Elephas maximus indicus: one gene and its partners. The protein of the gene in region 2 purifies or fractionates together with the protein of the main gene of each other region. This does not show direct contact. Links are inferred from orthologs where the notes say so. Each region holds a gene or a part of one and is shown on either strand. Other genes may lie near its edges.

Evidence for each region.
Region 1: the proteins of UBTF (region 2) and SIRT7 purify together in Homo sapiens (affinity purification with western blotting; 3 studies listed by BioGRID, with this or other methods). This does not show direct contact. The link is inferred for Elephas maximus indicus from reciprocal best matches to the Homo sapiens genes UBTF and SIRT7.
Region 3: the proteins of UBTF (region 2) and RUNX2 purify together in Homo sapiens (co-immunoprecipitation; 3 studies listed by BioGRID and IntAct, with this or other methods). This does not show direct contact. The link is inferred for Elephas maximus indicus from reciprocal best matches to the Homo sapiens genes UBTF and RUNX2.

What each region holds. Positions count from the first base shown.
Region 1 is NC_064837.1:71,705,517-71,713,535, reverse strand, and holds the start of SIRT7 (NAD-dependent protein deacetylase sirtuin-7), read left to right. Parts: upstream 1-4,935; 5' UTR 4,936-4,965; coding exon 4,966-5,058; intron 5,059-5,129; coding exon 5,130-5,267; intron 5,268-5,593; coding exon 5,594-5,698; intron 5,699-7,363; coding exon 7,364-7,434; intron 7,435-7,549; coding exon 7,550-7,622; intron 7,623-8,019. Other genes in the region: transcription factor MafG, read left to right, coding at 48-500. UniProt on the Homo sapiens protein: NAD-dependent protein-lysine deacylase that can act both as a deacetylase or deacylase (desuccinylase, depropionylase, deglutarylase and dedecanoylase), depending on the context. Specifically mediates deacetylation of histone H3 at 'Lys-18' (H3K18Ac).
Region 2 is NC_064837.1:50,744,077-50,751,796, reverse strand, and holds the start of UBTF (nucleolar transcription factor 1), read left to right. Parts: upstream 1-4,690; 5' UTR 4,691-5,099; intron 5,100-5,465; exon of another isoform or gene 5,466-5,555; intron 5,556-5,842; exon of another isoform or gene 5,843-5,932; intron 5,933-6,739; exon of another isoform or gene 6,740-6,825; intron 6,826-7,212; exon of another isoform or gene 7,213-7,298; intron 7,299-7,720. UniProt on the Homo sapiens protein: Recognizes the ribosomal RNA gene promoter and activates transcription mediated by RNA polymerase I (Pol I) through cooperative interactions with the transcription factor SL1/TIF-IB complex.
Region 3 is NC_064819.1:109,904,232-109,911,850, reverse strand, and holds the start of RUNX2 (runt-related transcription factor 2), read right to left. Parts: upstream 3,013-7,619; 5' UTR 2,998-3,012; coding exon 2,940-2,997; intron 1-2,939. UniProt on the Homo sapiens protein: Transcription factor involved in osteoblastic differentiation and skeletal morphogenesis. Essential for the maturation of osteoblasts and both intramembranous and endochondral ossification.

The DNA of each region.
Region 1 (8,019 bases), about 21 Mb from region 2:
AGGCACAGCCAGAGCGTGCTGCCCTGACCATGTGCCGTCCACCACAGGTGAAGCGGGAGCCTGGCGAGAATGGCACCAGCCTGACGGACGAGGAGCTGGTGACCATGTCTGTGCGGGAGCTGAACCAGCACCTGCGCGGCCTCTCCAAGGAGGAGATCATCCAGCTGAAGCAGCGCCGGCGTACACTCAAGAATCGTGGCTATGCGGCCAGCTGCCGCGTGAAGCGGGTGACACAGAAGGAGGAGCTGGAGAAGCAGAAGGCGGAGCTGCAGCAGGAGGTGGAGAAGCTGGCCTCGGAGAATGCCAGCATGAAGCTAGAGCTTGACGCCCTGCGCTCCAAGTATGAGGCCCTGCAGAACTTCGCCAGGACCGTGGCCCGCAGCCCGGTGGCGCCGGCCCGGGGCCCCCTCACTGGCGGCCTGGGGCCCCTTGTCCCTGGCAAGGTGGCTGCCACCAGCGTCATCACGATAGTCAAGTCCAAGACAGATGCCCGGTCGTAGGGACGTGCGCGCCCCGGTGGGTCAGCGAGGGGCCGCCAGGCACGTGGTGAGCTCGGCAGTCCTGTCCCCCTTTCTTCCCTCTTCCTCTCTGTTCCTTCTTCTTCCTCTCAACTTCCTTCCTGCCCTACAAAGCACAACCTCCACCAGGCGGGTGCCGGGCTGAGCCCCATTGATTTTGTTGTGTCCTCGTGTGTCTTGTACGTTGGGATTGGTCAGTTTGGTGGTGATGTTGGGTCACCCCTTGCCCCCTTGTACCAAGGCTGTGTGGGCTTAGAGTCTGCCCCGTGGAGGTGGACGAGGGAGTGGGAGAGAGGTGGGACCTGTGTGTCCCTAAATAGGGGCCCTCCAGTAGGAGGCCCCTGACTGCTGCCACTGGTTGGAGGGGGGCGCTGCGTGACTCCTTCTAGACAGACCCGCGGGCAGCTTGGCCCCGCTCTGAAGAGCAGGTGTGCCCCCTGTGAGGCCCCTGCGGGCTGAGCCCAGCTGGGCCCAGCAGCCAGGACATGGTGAGGCTGTGGGCCACAGGTGCAGCGCTCGGACCTAACGTATTGCACTGAATGAGACCAAAATCACTGGTTGTGTGCGTCTGTGAAGGGTGTGTCCAGTGTATCCTCTCGGTGGGTCCTGTGTCACTGTTTACATGATCTGTTTGTGTGGTTAAATAGCCCTGAAAAGAGAGAGTAAGTTCCTTTTACGAAGTTATTAAATTATATGTTTAAAAGCTACAGAAAAAAAAAAAGCTGCAAAGTATTTATAAAACTGTCTTTTTAAAAAAAAAAAAAGAAAAAAAGGCAAGAAGAGCATTTGACCCTGTCAGTGGAAAAGGGAAGAAAGCGTAACAGAAGCTTTGGTAGTTCAAAAAAAGAAAAAAAAAGCCCTTTCTTGTAAATTTATGGACAACTCTTTGTGGCTGTTGGAGTTTAGTTTTTATAAACACAGAGTTATCAGACATTATTTATAAAACTTAGTTTAAAAAAAGACAGAAAAAAGAAAAAAAAAAAAAGCCAAACCGCGAACCCCCCCAGGCGCGTCCTAACGTCCCCTTTGATATCTCTTTTGCAATTGTACCGAAAGTGACTTAGGCCTTGCCCTATCTGCTTCCGTCTCTTGCCGGTGCCGTGGTTTTGTTGTGCCTGGTGAGGTCTTGTGTGGCCGTAACGTGCTGGTGCTTCTGGTGACCTTTGACCTGTGGGTGTCACTTCTCGTATCTGTTCCCCCGTGTTTGTTTTTGGGACTTGGTTGTGATCTTGCACCTGCTGGCTTGCCGGGCCAGGGTGCTGGGCAGCACGGCCTCTCCTTCTTCCCACGCTACCCTGTACCCCTTGGTGGCCTGGCCTTGCTCTAGGTGTATGTTGGATGCAGACACTGGGCTCTGCTCCCCACCCCTGTTGACCCTCAGCTTCCTGCGTGTGCGTGTGTGTGAGAGTGCGTTTGTGTCTCTAGGACTTGGGCTGGGCCAGTGACAGGGCAGGTGGAACTGGGGGCCTCTCAGTGGCCTCCCGTACTGCCTCCATGTCCACTGCCTCTGGCCTTGGGCGGTGGCCTGGCAGGGACCCAGGAGTCACTGTGGGTGCCCATGGGGTGTGGCCCAGCTGCCCCATCTGTCTTCCTCATTGTTTCTTATCAGCAGCACAGGTCTGGCCTCAGCTTTGCTCCTGGGCTTCCCTCGTGACCTCTGTCAGCTGCTGGGCCAACACGGGGGGCTATGACCCCACCGCCCACTTGTCCCAGAAGTGTTTCAGGGCTGGGGTGGTGCTTCCCCAGGAGCAGGGCTTCTTCGTATCCCTGCCTCGCCCCAAGGGCCTGGGGAGCGGGTCTCTATCAGTGCCAGCAAGGGCTATGACCTCAACGCTGGGCCCTTCCCCCCTCCCCCTGTGCAGGCCTACAGCTCTCAGCTCCAGGCCCTTCTTCCACCTCCCTTTGGGATCTTTGTCTTCCAGGGACCAGCTGCTTGGCTTTCAGAGGCACTTCCGCTCAAGCCAGGGCTGCTGCCTCCCCATGCTGGCCACTGGACGGGCAGATGACCCTCCAGCCTTGGTACGGGAAGCTCCTGGTAGGGTGTGTTGGGTCGGCTCACAGCATGGCCTGAGATGCTGCAGCTCTGTTTCTGGCCACGGGGGCTTGGCTTCTCCCAGGGTTGCTGGCCCGTATCTCCAGAGCGCTAGAGAATACAGGTGAGGGTTGCTGAGGAGAGTAAGAAGCGAGGCGGGCACCCGGGACAGCCTTGAGGCAGTGGTGTCTTGTCAGCGAGTGTGGCCACACACGTGCTTGCGGTCGTGGCAGGCACGTGCCATACATGGTGTAGCCTCTCTGGGGCTCTGCTCAGATGCTCCTGGCTGGCCCACAAACAGCTCTGTGACTCCAAGTCCCTCCATGGTTTAAGCCCTCCCTGGCGTCGGGCTTTGTCCCTCTCGGGTCCAGGCTGCATTGCCAGGGTGGTGATGTAGCAGTGAGTTCCAGCTGTATCACCAGGAGCCTGAAAGAGAGGGTGTGATGTGGTGGAGCGAGGAGGACAGACCTTCCATTCCCTTGCTCTGTTCTCACTTTTGTCATTGGCGTGGGAGCTTGTCGTCTATCTCTAAGTGCCTCTGCAGGCCACATACGGCCAGCTGGGAGAGCAGAGGCAGGAAGTGGGTGAGGCGAGGAAGGGCTTGATGGTGAGCATTGTGGCAGCAGGTACCGGTCCTTAACTCAGCCTGTGGAAGAAGCTGCTCTGGAGTGAGTGACATCGTGAGAATGCCGTGCTTGCATTCATGGTGTTTGGACTTGAAGCCACTGTTCTGGGTCTGCGGGAGCCTTCCCGTCCTGCCAAGCCAGCCCTAAGGGGCTGCTCTGCCCCTCTGCCCCTCTGCCCTTTTCCCTTGGTTTCTTGGCACTAGATCCGTGTCCACGTGTAACTGTTTTGTGTCTGTCTAATCCTTTGTTGATTGAGTTTTCTACCGTGAACGTGTTGTGTTCTGTTTTTTCCTTTCTCTCCTGAACTTTCCTGACACAGCGAGTCGAGGCTTGGGCCGAGGCCAAGTCTTCAAACTTGTCCGCTACGTAAACCAAGATGCGCATCCCTTTCTGACCCTGAACTTGCCCCAGCTGCACCCTTATCCCAACATGGACACTCGGGTTTCTGAAAACAACCCTGAAGTAACAGGCCAGCTCTGCTCGAAGTGTCTGACCTCACAGGGCCTCCCCATCCCCAGCTGCTGCTCTTTGGTGGTTCTGTGTGGCACTGGTGTATTTGCTGGGCACCTGCCCTCCCTGGAGGCTGGAGGCTTTTCTGCTCTGGGTCCGTGCCTCAGGTCTGCCCACTTGTCAGCATCCTCTGGTCTCAGTGCCTGGCCATAGCACTGACTAGCCACAGCCTGCCCTGGGATACCTGGTCAGGCCCTGTCTTGCCTTGCTGCCTGCCTCTCTGGAGTGGCCCCTTGGCTGTACCTCCCTCTCGACAGCTCCCTGTCTGCAGCTGGAAAGCCGAGCCACAGCCTGCAGGGCTGTTTCCGCTCTGGGATCTTGTGAGTTATTTTTTTAGGCTGTGGTTTGGTGAAAGGAACCAACACATTAACGATTTTTCCCCCCAGAAGCCACTGAATAATTCTTTGTGTTGCTTGTTTTCTTCCTGCTGGCTATCAGTGGCTTTGGAGCAGCCGAGGAGTGTGGAGGACATGGTGGGTGCCATGCGGAGGTGGGAGTGTGCCCGCGGGACTGCCTATAGCCTGTTCTGCTATGTAGTATGTGTCCTGGGCAGGTGGGGCACCTGAGTGCCAATGGCACCAATTTCTACCCACCCCTAGGAGTAGCAGCCTCTACGCACTGGGTGTCTTGTGGGTCGGAGCCCGGTGGACTATGACATCTCCCAGTTCTGGGTGACGCCAGTTGGGTTTTGGCCCCCTTAGCCACCTCCTGCCCTTCCCCGCCCCCTCCACATCCCTCACCCTGCTTAGTCCCGAAGCCTTTAACCAAACGGGAGTGGGTACAGAAAGCTCCTCCTGGCAACTTAGGGCAACAGGACAAGGGCTGCCTGGTGTCCGGCTCTGCCGCCCTTGTGGCGCTGAGAGGGGTCGGAGGGAGTTGGTGAGACCCTGCCCAGTGCTGTGGCCGGGACGGTGGGGGTTAGAGCGGGCTGGGCTGGCCGGGCGTGGGGCCGCCGCTCGGGGCAGCGGCCGGCCTGCGGCCGCCACCCGCCCTGCGCAGTATTTATTGCTAAATTATTGTCCAGGAGGGGCGGCGCTGGGCCGGGCCCCCCGGGTATTTATTGCTGTACATAGTGTATGTTTGTGATATATAAGGTTTTCTTTATTTTGTATATGATCAATAAACACCTTTTAAAGAGACTGGCAGGTGCTTCTTTGCGGCTGGGCTGGAAGGTGCGGGCTGATGGGGCGGGGCCGGAAGGGGCGGGGCCTGACGCGCGCATGCGCCTGGCACGAGGCTGCCGGCGAGGCGGAAGCGGAAGCGCAGGTGCCGGGGAGCGATGGCAGCCGGCGGTCTGAGCCGCTCCGAGCGCAAGGCGGCGGAGCGAGTCCGGAGGCTGCGGGAGGAGCAGCAGCGGGAGCGCCTCCGCCAGGTAGGCCACCGCCCGCGCCCCGCCCGGGCCAGGCCCCACGCGACCCTGACCGCTCGCCCACGCGTCCGCAGGTGTCCCGCATCCTGAGGAAGGCGGTCACTGAGCGCAGCGCAGAGGAAGGTCGGCTGCTGGCTGAGAGCGAGGACCTAGTGACAGAGTTGCAGGGCCGGAGCCGGCGGCGCGAGGGCCTGAAGCGGCGCCAGGAGGAGGCGAGTCCCGCGGGCCGGACGGGCGCGGCGCTCCGAGGGCGTGCTTCTCGCTCTGCGCTGGCCGGTCCGGGCCACTCGGTTGGCCCGATGCCCCGTCGCCTCTCCTGAGGTGACAGCAAACGTGGGTGCCGGCGTGGATCGGAGGAATGGGAGCGCTTCGTAGTCCAGAGCGTGCTTCGTGTCAGGCCTCGTTCCCAGCGTGTCTCAGACGGCATTCCTGCCGTAGCTGTCATCTGCCTGGGATTGCTTGGCCCGGCTTTTTCAGCTCCTGGGGTGGGGGGCAAGAGCGAAGGATAGGGCCATGACCAGTCTCGGCGTCTTCGCAGGTATGCGATGACCCGGAAGAGCTGCGGAGGAAAGTCCAGGAGCTGGCCAGCGCCGTCAGGAACTCCAAATACTTGGTTGTCTACACAGGCGCAGGGATCAGCACGGTAGGGACGGGTGAACAGCTGCGCCCCGGGTCACCCCACGCCCTCCGGACTCTTCCCCTAACCCGTTGCCGTGGAGTCGATTCTGACTCATAGGACTTTTCCTGGCCCCAGAGAAATTGAGAGCGCGCGCTCCATGGGTCACGTGGCTGCCGGTCCCAGGGGTGGCCATGGGGCGCCCTCTTCTGGGTGACGCACCCCAGAACAGAGTTCAGCACTGTAGACTGGGGTGAAAAACAAAATAGAACAGCTGTAAAGTGTTTTCCTTTCTTAGAGAAATACAAACGGCACTGCCTAACAGGGAGCATAAAACTCCCAACACTATAAAGATGCTGGAACTCTGTTACACCTGGTTAAAGACAAGAAAAGCAGAGGAGAAAAAACAGGACATAACAGCTTAGTGCTTGCAGGTACTTCCTCATTTGCGGTGAAGGAGGTTAACCCGTTGGCCCACGGTCATGTAGGCAGAGCTACCCCTGCAGCTGACTCCTGAACCTGGCTTCTTCGTGGTTTCTACACGTTGGAGGAAAATAGAAAGTGAGACTGTAAGGATGCGAATCCTGATTTTTTGAGGAGCTGTGGGACATGACTAGCTTTGGAAGTGTGACTGGCACATACTCTGTCTAATACGATGGTTCTGTGTTGAGCGTCAGGCACGTGTCACCCCACAGAGGTGAACACCAACTGATTCCTGTTTTTTGAGAAACCTGTTGTTAATGTGACAAGGCGTGTAAACAAACAGTGGTAACGTGGAGTTGAATGTGTGAGGGGGATGTGACAAATCCAGGCTCTGCACTCGGTGGGGTCAGGGAGTGGGGAAACTCAACTCAGGTTGGCTTTTAGGGAGAGGTGGCCTTGAACTGGGGTAGTGAGAATGTGGAAGGTTCTCGGTGATCTAACCTGTGAGCACCTGGAGCCCAGGCAGTCAGGCTTCCCCCCTCCCTACCAGTCAAATGTACAATTCAGTCATGTGGTTACTGAAAGACAGGACTGTGGCCTTTTGGAGAGCTATCAGTGGTCCTAAAAGCCAGGTGCTGCTCATTAGTGTGATGGGAAGGCAGGTCCTTCAGCCCGGAGAGCACAGGCACCTGGGTTTTGGCAGCCTTCTTTGTCCTTTTCTCTCAGATAGGCTCGTTTTCCTGTACCGGAAACTTGGGAAACAAACTAGCATTTCTTCTCATCTGGAGAGATTGTCCTGGTTTTGTTAAAGTAGAACAGGAGCCTCTTAGAGATAAAAGGATCAGATGTGTAAGAATTTGGACAGAAGAGCCTTCCCACTTAGGGGTCCCCCACTTGCTGGTGTTTCCTGAGTATTGGGCTCAGCCTGGGGACACTCAGAGGAGCTGAGCAGTGCTTCCCACCATGTGGAGGGCAGACATGGCAATACAGCAGAGGTTTGTGGGTGGTGCTAAGGACTCCCAGAGTGGGTGGCCTCCTCCAGCCTTGAAGGATAAGCTGGGTGCAGTGGGGAAGGGGGAGTCTGGGAAGGCAGGAGCCACGGGTGGTACACCCGTCAGGCAGGTCAGGCGCTGGGTCTGTAGGGGAACAGGCAGTCATGGGCTGGCCCTGAATGAGGCAGGAGAGACGCCTGCTTCGTGTTCTTGGAAATTCAGTTGGTCCCGACAGTGAGACCCTTTTACCAGACTTGTTTTCTTTCTGGACATGCAGGCGGCTTCCATTCCAGATTATCGGGGCCCCAATGGAGTGTGGACGCTGTTGCAGAAAGGGAGAAGTATCAGGTAAGCAGACCTCAGCCACCCACTCCACCCCGGGGCCACTGAGCAAGAGAGGAGGGCAGGGCAGAGCAGCCTGACCCTGCAGCACCCTCACCTCACTCTTCCCCTGACCCGGCAGTGCCACTGACCTGAGCGAGGCCGACCCGACCCTCACGCACATGAGCATTGCCCGCCTGCATGAGCAGAAGCTGGTAAGCACATGGGTGGGCAGCACACAGGAGCCTGGGGAGGAGCAAGGCCAGTTTCGGCCAAGGCTCCTCTGCTCTAATGGCCTCAGTCCCAGAGCTGCTATGGCCCCTGTCCTCATGCTCACTTGTGTTACCCTCGCAAACCTCAGACACAGCCCTAGTCACAGGAGGCGGTTCACAACGAGTGGGGGAGGGTGGTTTCACCTGGGTCTGGAGGGATCTGAGACAGTGACCCAAGAGTGTGCACTTTGGGCAGAGCGACCCCCGCCGTCTGCCTCACTGGAGCCCCGAGTTCCTTCCCAGCTAAGAGGGGCGCTGCTATCGCTTACCTCCCATTCGTGCTTGAGCCGTTAGGGGGCATAGAGCCAGCCCAGGCCCCCGTCCTGTGGTAGAGCGACTC
Region 2 (7,720 bases):
GATAGCTCAAGTCCCAAGAACCAGAGGTCAGACGAACTGGAGGCAGCTGCAGATCCACAGCCAGCAAAAAGCCAGAATATCTGCTTATATTCTGATGCAGGCCACACCCCCAAGGAAACACCCCTTCCACTGATCCCCTACTCACAACAGATTCCATCATGGGAGTGATCACATATAAACACTGAGAATCAAGGCTCACAATCTTAACCATCACATACTTCTGTGAAACTAATGAGGCAGGATTAGGGGCAGTTTATGTTAATGAGGCAGAACTCAGTCTACAAGATTAGGTCATCTCTTAAGTCAGTCTCTTTTGAGATATAAAAGAGAAGCAGAGAGACAGGGGACCTCATACCAGCAAGAAACAAGAGCCAGGAGAAGATCACATCCTTTGGACTCAGGGTCCCTGCATTGAGATTTTCGACCAGGGAAGATTGATGACAACGACCTTCCCTCAGAGCCGACAGAGAAAGCCTTTCCCTGGAGCTGGCACCCTAAATTCCGACTTCTAGCCTCCTAGACTGTAAGAGAATAAATTTATCTTTGTTAAAGCCATCTGCTTGGGGTCTTTCTGTTATAGCAGCACTAGATAACAAAGACATAGCCCTTTACTTGACGATGGGAATATTCTATATCTATATTGTCCATAGGTTCACCACTAGCCACATATGGCTATGGAGCACCTGAAGTGTGGCCAGTGTGACTGAGGAACTGAATATTCAATTCTATTTCATTTCAATTAATTTAAACTTAAATAGCCACATGTGGCTAGTGGCTACCCTATTAGACAGTGCAGCTATAGGGTTTTCTGAACTTAAGTCATTCACACATCACCTTAATTATCTTTGCCAGATCTTTGAGCCACTAATACTATTCTTTCCTTACTATTGTTCTTTTCACTGACTCAGCTTTAAAACTCAAATAAACATATTTAAAAAGATGATTTTATATGTGAAAAGGTGCTCAACATCATTAGTTACCAGAGAAATTAAAACCAAAATGAGGTACCACTACATGCCCACTAGAGTGACTACAATAAAAAGGACTGACAATATTAGGTGTTGGTGAAGATGTGGAGCACCAGGCATTCTCATACACTGGTGGTGGAGGGTAAATTGTTACAACCATTTAGGAAAAAAGATGCAGGAATTCCACTTCTGGAAATATATCCAAGAGGAATGAATGCATATAGTCCTCAAAAGATATCCACAGGAATGTTCAAGGTAGCTTTATAGCCATACAATTGGAAGCAACCCAAATTCCATTAGAAATAGAATGGATAGATTGTGGTGCATTCATGCAATGGAATACTATATAGCAAGGAAAAGGAACGAACTATGGCTACATGCAATATCGTAAATCGATCTCAGACATCATGTTGGGTGAAAGAGGCCAGAGGTAAAGGAGTATAACCAAACCCAGTGCCTTCGAGTTGATTCCGACTCATAGCGACCCTATAGGACAGAATAGAAGTGCCCCATAGAGTTTCCAAGGAGCGCCTGGCGGATTCAAACTGCCATCCCTTTGGTTAGCAGCCATAGCACTTAACCACTACGCCACCAGGGTTTCCATAAAGAGTATACACTGTATAATTCCACGTGCATGAAATTAAAAAATGGGTAAAACTTAGCTATATGATAGAGCTCAGAATATTGGTGACATCTGGAGGGGGATATTGACTTTGAGTAAGCTTGCAGGTGCTATAAGTGTTCAATATCTTGACCTGGGTGGCAGTTACACGGTAGATACATATGTAACATGGATACTATAGATACCACCACCAGTTGCCCTCAAGTCAATTCTGACTCATAGCATCTCCACGTGTGTCAGAGTTGAACTGTATTCCACAGGGTTTTCAATGGCTGTTTTTTTAGAAATAGATTGCAAGGCTTTTCTCCTGAGGTGCCTCTGGGTGGACTCGAACCACCAACTTTTTGGTTAGTAGCCAAGCTCACTAACCGTTTGCACTACTCAGGGACTCCATACTATGCATACCAAAAACAAAAAAACATGGCCTTTAAGTTGATTCCGACTCATTACTGTCTGTAAACTATACCTTCCTAAAAAAGAAAAAAATAAATAAAAAGAATAATAAAGGAACAATGGTTCCAAAACAGGTGAGGGGGGAAGACTTTACAACTATCTTAAATAAAAATAAAACACATTTCAATACACGTTAGTACATGCAACCCCGAAAATACGTTAATCTATGTGCCACTGAAATTATTCACGCACACCAGGAACTCAAACACCAGACTTTGTGAACACACTACGAGGTTTTTATGTGGGCTAGTGCTGGGATGCTGGCAACCAGGGAAGAGCTGGGGCCAAGTGGCAAAGGTGTAGCTAAGGCTTATGCCTCCTCACCAGCCTGGGCTGGGTCATGGAATGCTGAGGATCTGCTTCAAGGCTTATGCCAGAAACTAGAGGGGGTTGGAGGGTTGGGAAAGAGGACAAAGAAAAAGGGCCAAGGGCAAATTCTCTCAGCTCTGGCCCATAGCCCAAGTCCTAGACTTGGCCCATAGCCCAAGTCCTAAACTCCTGACCTCATCAGAGATGCAATGGATGTAAAACAAGCCAATGGGTTTCCAAGTAGGAAGAGTGCCAGCCATGATTTTTGCTACCCAAGGAACGAAAAATCAATAATAATCATTCTTATGATTCATGTCTATCCTGTTTTGTTCCAAAGCACTTTACCGAAAGGTCCCTTGGCCCAGCCAAGAAGTTCAGGACCAGGACCCAGGACACCTGGACTCCAAATCCGTGTGTGAAATAGTTGGAATTTTTGGGGGGTCTAAGTTTTTCCCAATGTCTTTGTGGCAAGTGACATCTGTAGTCTATTTTACAGTTTTACAAAATTTTAGCAGAGTAAATAGGATGGCTAGTCTAATTTTGCAGATGTGGAAATTGGAATTCTTAAGAGGGTGGTGAAGCTGGGACTTTTGAGTTCAAACTAACTCTTTGCTCTTTCTCAGTCTAAACAGAAGTTAGTCCGTGCTTCACTCTTTAGCACAGGAGAGGTGTCTTGATCAGACACAAAATGAATGCCCTGCCTGTGTTCCGGGGCAGATCTGGGTCTGTGGAGCCTGAAGCTTAGACAATTTGAGGTAGGCGCTCTTTCAGGAAAATACCAAATGTTAAACACAAAATTAAGTACAGGGCTTTTGGCCCGGCTCTGCCAGGGAGAGGCCTTGAAGCTTAAGCTTCATTAGCATGGTGTGGCAATGGTGAAGCATTTGGTTGTTAACCAAAAGTTTGCCAGTTCTAACCCACCTTGCTGTTCCACGGGAGAAAAGCCTTCACGGTGGGCTCCCTAAAGAGTACAGCCAAGAAAACTCTATGGAGCAGTTCTACTGCGTCATATGGGGTCGCTATGAGTTGAAATTGACTCCATGGCGCCTAACAACAAGAACAAAGTGCCTTCCCTGCATGCCCTGCCCACTAAAAGCTCTGGACACACCAGATCTTGACAAGGATTTTCCTCCCTATTTGTGAAACGTGGCAGATGTGGATGTGGAAACCCTGGGAAGAGGATCTCGTTTCTCCCAGGAGACAAGAGGAATTACAGCAGCATCGAGGCCCTGTGTGAGGCTGGAGTAGGCTGTGTGCCAGGGGAGAATCCAAAGGGGCTGGTGACCCAACTGGCGAGTCGATGTGGCAGTAGCAGCTTTGGAGAGGGCCACTGGCAACTGGGAGCCAGGAGCGATGGCGCTGCCCGTGCAGCGAAAGCACAACCCCTAGGCTGGCCTGTGGGAAGCAGGCGTTCTTCAGACTGTTTTCTGGCTCCCTGCGTCCAGATAACCCTTCCTCGGAGCAGGGAAGGCCGAGACCGACAACGACAGCCGGCGGCAGTGGGGGATGGATGGTGGTCGGCGCCCAGGCCCTTCCATCCCCCGCCCGCAGGAGGGTGGAGTGCGGGCGGCCTGCGAGGGACCTTCCCCGCTGCGGCTCCGGCGGCGAGGCCGGGGCGCCGGGATCCCCTCGCGGTTCCCAGCCGCCGGGGTTGGGGGGGGCAGCGCCCGCGGCCTGCTTTCCCAGGGCTGGCCAAGCCTTTTTGACAAGCTGATTGCGTGACGGGGATTGGCTGGTCCCGGAGTGACGCCGGTAACAACAAAGGTGGAGTTGGAAGAAATTAGATTAAAGGAGAGAAAAAAAATTAAAGGGGGAGCTGGCAGGGGACGGGAGGAAAAGACCGAGGGGAGAAGCGCGAAGCGCGGTCTTCCTGCTCCGACTTCCCCCCGGAAGCCCTTCGGCGCCAGCCGGCCAGGATTTTGCTCTCTACCTCTACCCCGGCCCAGCGATCGAAGCCGGGGTAGGAGTGGTGGCTGCTACTGCTCGAAAAATTCCCCCACTCCCATCCTGACACCCCTCGATACGACCCAGGGGGAGAACTTTTTGCTCGGACTCCTCGAATCCTAGCTCGGCGGAGGTGGAGGACGTTGAAAACGAGAGGCTCGCTTTAAAACCCGGAAGGCCCTCGCGGGTTTTAAAGCAATCGGACGACACGGGGTGTTTCCCCGGTTTTTCGATGTGTTGCAAATCTAAGAAAAGCGTCTTTTCTTTTTTTTGTAACAACCCCTCTTCGCTTCCCTCCCCCCCACCCCTCGCTTTGGCTTCAGGGTTGCAAAAGCAAAGAGCAATAAAAAAAAAAAAAAAAAAAAACCGCGCACACACTCAGACACACACCAGTGGCGACAGGGGAGAGTTGGGAAGACGCAGGAGAGAAGCAGGAGGCAGCCGGGGAGGGAGCAATGGGAGCGGGAAGCAGGCAAGTTCCCTCGCAAATCCCCCTCCGGCCCTACGCCGGCCGCCTCGCCGGCTCCGGCAGGGGAGCGAGGAGCCGGGCGAGCAGATGGAGAAGTGGAGCTCGCTCTAGGCAGCGGGCTTGGCCGGAGAATGGAGGAGCCGCCAAGCGACCGGCTGATTGGAAGAGAAACGCAGCGCGATGGAGGCGGGGGTAGGAGGACGATTTCTCTGCGGGGACTGGCGGCGGCGTACACGCCCGGGTCGGGCGCTGCAGAGCTTGGCTAGCTTTCAAACCGCGCTCGCCGGCTCCAGCCCCACGCGCCCCCACCCCAGTCCTCCCGGCGGCTCCGCAGGTGAGTGCGAGCTGGGGGCAGAAAGACCCGGAACAGTCTCCGCACGCCCGCCCTGGAAAAAAAAAAAAAAAAAGCAAAAAAAAAAAAAGCATTTTTCTTTTTCTATTTTCGTGCAGCCCCCAGCGCGGTGGGAGGGAAGGGGTGAGGCTGAGCCGCCCGAGGAGGCGGAGGGGCCAGGCGAGGCCGGGGTGGCCCGGGAGGCGGCGGCGCCGAGGCGGCTCTGACGGGCAAGCGCTCCGAGCGGCGCTGCGCTGCGCCGAGGCGGGCGGGCGGGCGGAGCGGGGCGGGCGGAGCGCGGCGCGTGGGGCTCGCCATTAGCCGTCGCTCCGCTTCGCCATCGCGGGCTTTGTCTGGCGACTCGCTGCCCCAGCGTCGGCTGCAGCGGAGCTGCGGCTCCGCTCCTCGGCCCGCCGCGCCCCCAGGTGCCCCCGGTCGGCGCTCGCACCCACACGCCCGGTGAGTGAGCCCTGGCGCCGCGGGATTTCGGGGGAGAAGGGTTGCCGCGAGCGGCTGCCAATCTCCATGCGCCGGAGCAGGCCTGGGGAAGCCATGCCGGGCTGGATTGAACCGGCTCCCAGAGCGGTTCCTCCGCCGGAGCCCGTCGCCCCCTCGCCGTTTCCGGGGTGTAAGAACCAAAAGGGGATTTTTTTGCGGGGAGGGTGTTTTGTGGGCTTTTTTTAAGTTTCGTGTGTGTCGTTCGGCAGCGTGGGGACCGCGAGGTAGGCGAGTGCCGGAGCCAGGCGCCGCGATCGCCGTGCGTGCGTCCCAAGCCGGCGGCCACGCTCCGGGGATAAGGGTGGGCGCTGATCGCCCGCTCCGGGAGACGGAAGCGGGTGAGAGCTGGCTTGGGAGCCCGGGTTGGCGCTGGGAGGATTGGCGGGAGCGCTCCGGAGCGGGGCCACGGGCACCCCGAGCCTCCCTGGCCGCCGGGGGGCCCTCCGGGCACTCTCACCGCGGCGCGCCTCGCGCCCTCCCTTCCGCGCCTGCTGAGCCTGCTAGTTTCCCCGCGAGTCTGGCGAGGTCGCTCTCGGCGCCCGCCCGCCCGCCCGCCTCGGCTCCGAGCCCCGCCGCCATCCGGGCGGCTGCGTGTCTCCCTGCCCGGCCCCCCCTCCCCGGCGGCAGCAGTAGCCGCCGCCGCCGCCACCCCCCTCCCCTCCTTCCTTCCCTCCGCCTCGGCCGCCCGGGTCCCCCCAGCTCCCGCCCCTCCTCCCAGCTGCCCCCCGCGGAGCCCGCCCGGGCAGGCTGTGGGAGGGAGCGGAGCCGGCGAGGCGGGCGGGCTGGCGCTCGCTCCCCGGGGGTCGGTGTGCGCTCTACGGGGAAGGACGCGCTCGCTGCCCCGCTTCGCCCGCCCCCTCCCGCTCCTCCTCCTCCCTTCTCCCTCCTCCTCCCCGCTCCGGCGGCGGAGGCTGCGGCGGCGGCGGGGGGTGTGCGAGCTGAGGCCGGGGCCGGCGGGCGGGCGGCGGGCGGGCGGCGGGCGGGCTGCCTGCAGGCGGAGGGCGCTGTGCTTTGTGCTTTTCGCCGCGAGGAGCAGCAGGCAGCAGCCACAGCCGCCGCCGCCACAGCAGCAGCAGCCGCCGCCCCAGCGCCGCCGCCGCGCCCGGAGGAGGAGCCGCTGCCGCCGCGGGAGGGAGCTGCGGCTGTGCCCGGCCGAGCGGGGGAGGCGCCGCTGCTCAGAGCCGGGGAGGGAGCCGCGGGAGCGGGAAGCCTGGAGGCCGCGCTGCGCCGGGTAACCGAAGCGGGCCGAGGACGCGCGCCAGGGTCGGGGCCGGGGAGCGAGCCGCGGGCGCGGGGGACGTCCGGCGGGGACCCGGGGCGACCTCCGGACAGAGGACTGGGCGAGAGCAGACCAGGGCACTGGGGAGGACGCCGAGAGCAGAAGGAGGGGAGGACAGGAAGCGAGGCCCGAGCCGAGCCCGGGCCGCGGGCGGAGAAGCCCGCGCTTCTCCGGGCCGGCAGGCGCAGTTCTCGCCGGCCGCCGGAGGGGGCGGCTGGGCCGGTGAGCGCTGCGCCCCCGCCTCCCGGCCGCCGTCCTCCCGCCCTCTCCTTGGCTCGGCTCCCCGGAGGCCGGGGCGGGGGCGCCGGCGGGGCTGGGCCGCAGGCTCGGGGGAGGAGGCGGCGGTTCCCGCCGCGGTCGCGCCTCTGCGCTGGGCTCCTCCGTGCGCGTCGGGTGGCTGGGCGGTGGCAGCGCTTCTGGCCGGGGTGGGTGGCTCGGGGGCGGGGGGCAGGCTAGGCCGCTTCTCTCCGGCTGCTCGCCTGCCCGGGCGGGCGAGGACAGCGGCGGGACCCCAGGAGGGGGGGCGGCGGAATCCGGATCCGGTCCCCGGGGGCGTTGCGGCCGCTGCGCTCCGGGGCTGGCGGCGGCTGCGCTGCGTCCGGGTCCCCGCCGGGTTGCGGAGGCGGGGGGAACCGGCCGGGGGGGAGGCGGGAGGAGGAGACTGGGGCGCGTGCCCGCTCCCGCGGCCGCGCGCGCCCTTTACCCGCCCTTCCTCCTCCCCCGCCCTTCAGCCTGGGGCCTCCCCGGGGCGGGCAGACAGAGGAGGAGGAGTTTTTTTTTTTTTTTTTTTGGCCGGGGTGGGGGAAGGAGGGTGGAGGGCGGGCGCTTGCTGCACGCGGGAGCAGCG
Region 3 (7,619 bases), on a different chromosome or scaffold from region 2:
TGTGATTTACACAGACTAACAAAATTTTTTCCCTGTTATTTCTTTTAAATCTTTGACATTTTAAAATATTTTTAAAATTTAAAAGTGAACAATTTTTCTTTAAAAATTAGGATTATTATAAATTAAAATATTTACAATACAAGTTTTTGGGAATTGTGTTGACATTGCTAGCTTTTAATATATGTAGAGTAGCCTTCTCATTATGTTCTTGACTTTTTAATTCTTTTCCCTGTTATTTTGGAATGTAGCACTCTTATTTTAGGAGCAAGTTAGGACACTTTATCACTAGTAAATCTTGACAGTATAAAGCTATTATTACTAATATGGACCACAACTATTGTTTCGGAAATCAGTGTTCACACATCATTTGCAGTCAATTACTACGGTCAGATACAAAGATTTTATGTAGAAATTTAATTAGTTAGATGATACCATTTCATAAATAAGTTCTTAATTGTAGAACTACATGAGTCACATCTATCATTTTCTATAGCTTTTGTTTATGATAAATAACATTTTGAGTAGCTCACAGATTTTGAAAATTATTGATTAATTCAAGGTAAATGGTATTCTGGAGGAGCAAGGACACAGATTTTATCTTTCTCATGTGCGCGCGCGCACACACACACACATGCACGCACTACACACTTCATTATATTTAAGGAGAGGCTGTCAGTCAACGGTATGCTTTGTCCCTCACCTAGGAAAAGCCTAAGCTTTCTTTTTAACTACTTCACAAAGCCGGGGCACGTGCTTTTGACATTTCATTGTTGATGGTTATAATCATCATATAAGAATTTAAAACCTGAAGTGAAGTTTTAGACTTCAAATAGATTATAGAATGGGAAAATGTTTGCAGTGTGATGATAACCTATACATAATGTCCCTTGCCCACCCTGTAATTAGGTTGGTCTGGGGGTTCATGTTAAGTTCTCTATCCAGGCTCTAAGGCACTGTGGTGGCAGAAGGGGGAGTGAAATCCGCCTTTCAGAAGAAAAAAGATTCCTTGCAATGTTTAGTCAAAAGTATGACAGGCAATTGAAGATGACCTTTATCTGCTCAGTTCACTATTATCCCTTGTGTAGAAACTTGATCAAATTTCAGAAATCTTAATGTAAAAATGGTTATTAAAATGTCAGGGAAATATAAGACACCTGATAGAAAATATAAGACCATTTTAACTTACTCTCTCTGTCAATAATAATAGCTTTACTTCTAGTGCTGGAGTATTCCCTGGAACTCGTGGTGCTCCCAATATAGTTAGAAAAGTGTATTTTTTTTTCTCTTTAATAGAGTAATATTGTTAAAAATTAACTGCTTGATATGCCTGTTTTGTTATCTCTCTATATGACAATGATTTTAACCATTTTTTTCCTCTCATCTCTTGGGTAATAAGACTAAAAATTCCCATGTATAAGCTGTAATTATAAGATGTAGTACAGTCTAGTTGTATTTATGTTCTGCTCTCTTAATATAGAAGTTTTTAGATTAATGCTTAAAACCCACCATTACATTTAAAAAATAATTTGTGATTATTGTATGCATTATAACTGAGGGGGTCCACTTATGGTTATTGAGGAGGTCACTACAATAATTTTACATTTTTTGTAATATACAAAGTACACTTCCTCGCTGTTTAAAAGAAACCCTTTTTCCCCCCTTCAGATTTAATTATTTCTCTTTGACCTAAACTAAGACTGATCCTCAAGTAGTAGCCAGTTAAAATGTGTGTGAAGTAGGAGGAGTAAAGGAAACCCCAATCATTAGTTGTAAGTTACAAAGCAATGTTAATATAGGTATACACAGCAAAAGGATTTATTTTAAAGGATGTAAGAAAATTTTAGAAACTTGCATTATAGTTGGAGCATGTTGGACATCATAAAGAAAATCTTGTAAGTGCTTAGATTTTTACTATAATACCATGGCAGCAGACAGATGTTAAAATAGTTTACATATCTGTATCAACACTAACTTGAAATTAGGTATTAAGGGATTATATTATGCATGTTTTAAAATCCAGCTTGATTTAATAGGTATGGCTCTTTTAAATCAAGCAGGGTATCCTTACGGAGCTTTATTTTTCATGAGACTAAATGGTATTCATTTTGGTAGGTCCAAGAATGTGATTAAAAGAATCTTAGACGTTTCAGTGTTTGTTATGTGTTTATAACAAGTTCTACAAATGGATAATAGTGTCTAGATGTAAAAATAAAATTATATAGGAAACACAATTGCATGTAATTTTTTAAAGACTTCTCTGAACTTTTTAATATTCTAGGCAACTGTAAAGATCTTTTAAAAATGGTTATTGTATACCTATAATTTTATTTCAGTTGAATATATGCTTCAGTTTTATAAAGCTGTTTAGAAATAGACTTGTGCAGATACCTTATAAAGCAGTTTAAAATTGTAAATAGATTTCTTTTAGTCGAGCTGGTTCAAATGTTAACTGTAGGCTTATTTCTGTTTTGCATGGTAGAGCATAATGTTGGGATAATTCTGTGGTCTGTTATTTTGTAAAATTGCTTCCTTTTTGAAGTTTGCTCAAATATTGGGAGCCGCCGGAGTCAATAATTTATAATACTTTGATTAACTTAGTGTCTAGTTTTATTCCAGTGAGGGTTAAAGACAATATTAAGCTGTTTCTTTTTACTGTTTTAGCATTCTCATTTCCATAACTCTAGAAGACATTTTGATTAATGCGAAGTAACTTATTTTTGAATATTTCAAGCCATTACTCTGAGAATTAGATAAGTGGCAGATGCCAAATGCAAATATGTATAGCAATTTCATCTTTTAGTATTTTAGTGCAACAATACAGCATTATTTTGATCTTTAATATACTGTTACCTTCAAGAGCTAGCACTTTATCTAAGACATATAGCTTTATGTTTAACAGGTTCATCTCTTATAGTATTTTAAAATATGATAACACTTACCCCAAAAGAAGTTTTGCTGACATGGTGTCACAGTGCTGAAGAGGCTGTTTGATGCCATAGTCCCTCCTTTTTTTTTTCAGATAGAACTTGTACCCTCTGTTGTAAATACTGCTTGTAGCCTTAAACTGAAAACACAAACCATACCCAAATCTTGTTTTAGTTTTACAGTATGCCTGGAGTACATAGACTTTCTATTTATTTTTTTCTGTCAAGAAATTATGTCGCTGGTAACATGTGAAAAGCAGGGAAACAAAACAAAAAGAGAATGAGCAAATATTTGAAGGCCCTACTATTACTGCATAGACTGTGGTTTGAGAGCACTCACTGACTCTGTTGGTCTCGGTGGCTGGTAGTGACCTGCGGAGATTAACCATTTAAAAACCAGAGACTTCTTGCTGTCCTCCTGGAGAAAGTTTGCACCGCACTTGTGGTTCTGTGGTTGTTTGTGAGGCGAATGAAGCATTCACACAATCCAAAAAAGCAAAAGCTTTAAAACTCCTTTTTTTTGCAAGCACTATTACTGGAGAGACAGAATCATGTGGTTTGTGACCTCACAGAACTCAAAGTAAAGTGGGACTGCCTACCACTGTGGCTTTTTCCCCCTTGCTCTTGCTCTCTTTCTCTCTCTCTCTCTCTGACAAAAGGCTTGTGGTAAGGCCCTTCCTGGCATCCAGAAGGATATAGCTTTTTAATTTTTGTGACTCATGAGGATTTGGATAGAATACAAATGCTGAAGGAGCCCAAACTCCTGTAAGGTTAAGCATCTGTAGAGCAGAACTCTGTTCTTTCCTTCCTACCACCCCACCCCCCCACCCGCCCCCTTTTTTTTTTGCCTCCTCCTTTTAGTTTATTATTGTGTCTGTGGAAGAGTGAGCAAAATTTGGCTCAAGTGGCTGTGCGAAATTCTGAACAACAGTGATGATTTACAATAATTTACATCTTTGGATTGTATCACATTCTGGGGTCTGCTTCATATTTGCTGGGTGGCTGGATTCCTTCTGTTTTTCTTTTTCTTAAACTTGTGAGTCTGTAACTCATTGTAAAAAAAAAAAAAGTTTACCTTTCTTAAGGTCTGGTTGTGAACTGCTTGCTGGGCTGGACTGTAATTGGCTGTCATGAAAGTGTTAGTCTGGAGATACCTTTACAAATATTAATTTATGTCTGTATAGCTTATGGATTATCAATATTAGATGGCAACGTCTCTACAATAAAGATTGACTGTAACATCACATATACTTTTACGTCACAACTAATTTGAGGGTTTTATAAAAATGAATGGCAAGAATTGTAAGATAGTTTATTGAATGAGTCTTAGTTTTCTTTATGCTTGTAGTACAATTATTATCTTTCAAGGAAATGCATTCATTTTGTAGAATTCTTCAGTTTATTTGGCGCCATTAACTTTAACAGAGTCTTTGATAGCAAATCTTATGCATTCATAAAGTAAAATACTTACATTATGACTTAGATTGTTCAGTGTTAGACTTTATATGCTCAGGATGGAGTGGGTTAAGAGAAGCTGAATTTTTTGTTTATAATGGAAGCTTTGAAATAAATTACAAAATGCTGTGTGTAGTGAGGAATAATGCACACAGACAGAGTATGTTAGTCGTCTCGATTTGCTAATTCTGATTCAGAAGAAAATTGGAAACATCTTTGGGAAACTATCTCCTTTTTTGCCCCTTTGGACATGTATGTATAGAACTCATTTTCTTATTAGGATGATTGTATATCATAGGCAGTGAAATTTATATTTATGAATAGGGCTTCCTGTTTTCATCAATTGAGAGCGAGGGGTATTTTTCAACAAAAATTATAAAGCCGAACATACCAATTTTCTAGGCATTTTTGCGATTTATCCACGCCACACTGAACTTGCGTGTGTTCAGTTGTTAGACTTCTTCCTAGTGTGATAGTAACTAGGAGTGGCGTGAAGTCAATGACTTGGAGAATGGGCGGAGACAGTGAGTTACAAAACATTTTTGGGGGTGTACAATGGGATAATAAGGGCTGGGGAAATACTCAGGAGGGTGTTAGAGCTAAAATACCCCTGCACGTGGTGTTCTTAGCACAGTTCATTATCTGCTATTGCTGTACAAATATGTCCATAAATTTCTTTACAAAAATTTTTGATTTGTCCAAAACATGCTGGGATGACACAGGAATTATTTTAATCTCTTTTTCAAATGTCCAGAGCTTTTTCATACATTTTAATGATTTCTTTTAAGCACATATTTATCCTGCTGATTTTGTGTATAATCAGGTTTTATATCGAGAAGCAACAATTTTCATTTAACACACTTATTCACGTAAAAGGGAGAAAATAAATTATTTGGGTATTCTATTTCATAAATAAGGTGCTGGTATGATCTATATATCTAATTAGTATCTAAAGTAAATAAAAGAAGGGTTTTGTTCATAATTTATGGAAGTTTAAACTCTTCTGCACATGTAATAGCAGAGTGAGGCAATTGAAAATTTTGGGTAACTGCTGTAGTTTGATAAGTAAATGATTTTCTTCCTTTAGGATAAGGTTTTTGTTTATGCATCAGGGTTCTCTGACATTCAGACAACCCCAACTTTTTGCTGAGTATTTTCTTCCTTATTTTCTTTTTGTCTTATGTATACTTTGGTCCATGAAAACTGGAGTAATTTTTAACATCAATGTGCCTTCTAATTACTTGTTCTCTTATTGCAGGTTACCCTCCTGCACAAAATCTTTGGGTCAGAATCATCACTCAATGCAGAAGAGTTTGGTAGATATTGTTTAATAGGTCCTTTCCTTTTGGTCTTGCGTGAGGCCGATCACAGCCTGGCAGGAGAAAGATAGCGAAATTATGTGTTTTAAAGTTTGCATATTTATTATCCACACATAATTTTTTTTTCCTAAATTGAAAATATATCTTTTTTTGTGGTAGAAATTTTAAAACAACACTGATAACTGGTACGCATTTGATAATTGACAGTTTGTTTCATTCAAAATAGCTTGTTACGTGTGATGAAGAGAGATTGATTCAGAAAAGCTAATGTGCAAATAAACCTCTTGATTATAGATTTGTATCCATGTTTGTAATCACAAATGAAAACCACAGGACTTTTTTTGTTTGTTTGTTTTTTAAGACCTTCACAACTTCATCCTGCTGGAGGTATGTTAGCATCTGCTATGTTTAAGTAAGCAGCAAGTTTAGGTCTACTGTGTAAATTATGTTCTTTAATGTTACGGAAATGAGATACAGCTTACTGCAAAAAGTCAAAAAGTTAGTGTCTTGCTTCCCCATTACTTTGTATTTAATAAACGTTGTCAGAATTGGTTGAAATTTTTAAGATACCAAAACGTTTACAAATAATACATTATAAACTGCTTTAAGTGCTACGTATGTCTTCATTGTTACCATTTGAATTTTTTTCCTGAACTAACGATAGTATTTTAATACACTACTTTTCCTTTACCAATATCGTTCTTGTTTCCGTGCTTTTTGTTTATCTGTTTTTAGGATTGTGTTAGAGTTCTATTTGTCACCAGTGTCTTTTTCTTTTAATTGAAAACAATAGGAGCAGAAGCCTTGATGTGGGAATTTTATAAACTATAGGAGTCTTAATTTGGCTTAATATGTTCTCACTGATTATGAGGTTTTCGCAAAAGTTTTTTAATTTATTGTTTCAATTTGGTATGTGACAGTTTATTTTTTATTTTTATTTTTGATATATAGCTGCTCAAACTTACATAGCATTTATTGGGCCTTATATTGATGCCTTGTAAATTTTTTATATTAGTAAAATAAGTATAGTTTTGTTAGTATTTTAAATTATGATTACAAGAGATTAATTCCATTTCCTTATTTTAGTGAGGTGTATGCCTGCATACAGAACTGCACACACGTGTGTGGTGGTGGTTGTGCGTAGGGCGATGCTTTGTAGCAATTTTTATGGGAGTATTTTTTGTTTCTATTTTAATTAAATTTATAAAATCCCAAAGCATCACCATTTCCTTGATTGTTTGAACCGTTTGACTTGGTTAATTGTTAATCTCAGTTTAAATGTGAGATTATGTGGAAATTGGATGCCAAAAGAGAAAGTACTAAACTAACTTTCTGTTCTCTCTCCCCCTTCACTGTACTTCGGCCTTTTTGTTTGTTTGTTTCTCTTTTCTCTGACTTTTTTATAAAGTCTCAAAGTAGATTCTTAAAATTCTAGTAAGGGATATTGACATTAATCCTTCTAATGAATACCTAGCAGGTTAGAAGCTCATAACATTCATTGCAACTTATTGTTACGTTCTGATATATTATACCTCATTTGTTAGGCGTGTGTGGGCATTGTGTTGGCTTCTGTCTACAAAGATTTTCTTTCTTTTAATTGTTTTCACTTGGTCCTTGAATCCTTCCTTTATGTTATTTTGCTTTAGCACGTTGCTTCATGTGTCATTAACACTTTAATTATGAGATTAGTTTTTGTTTCTTTTTTCTCTGACTGTACTTTGAAGTGCAGAGTGATCCATACTTGTTTAATATAGCCATATAAGTAATTTATGTTTCTTATAATTATTGGGACAATTCATCTTCTAATGCTGTCATTTCCGCAAGTAGGAAAAAAAAAGGCGAGAACTTGCAGAAAATATGGGAAACATGCTCGTATGACAGCTGAGGATGTGGCTAGGCTAAAGCAGGAAACTACTACCCA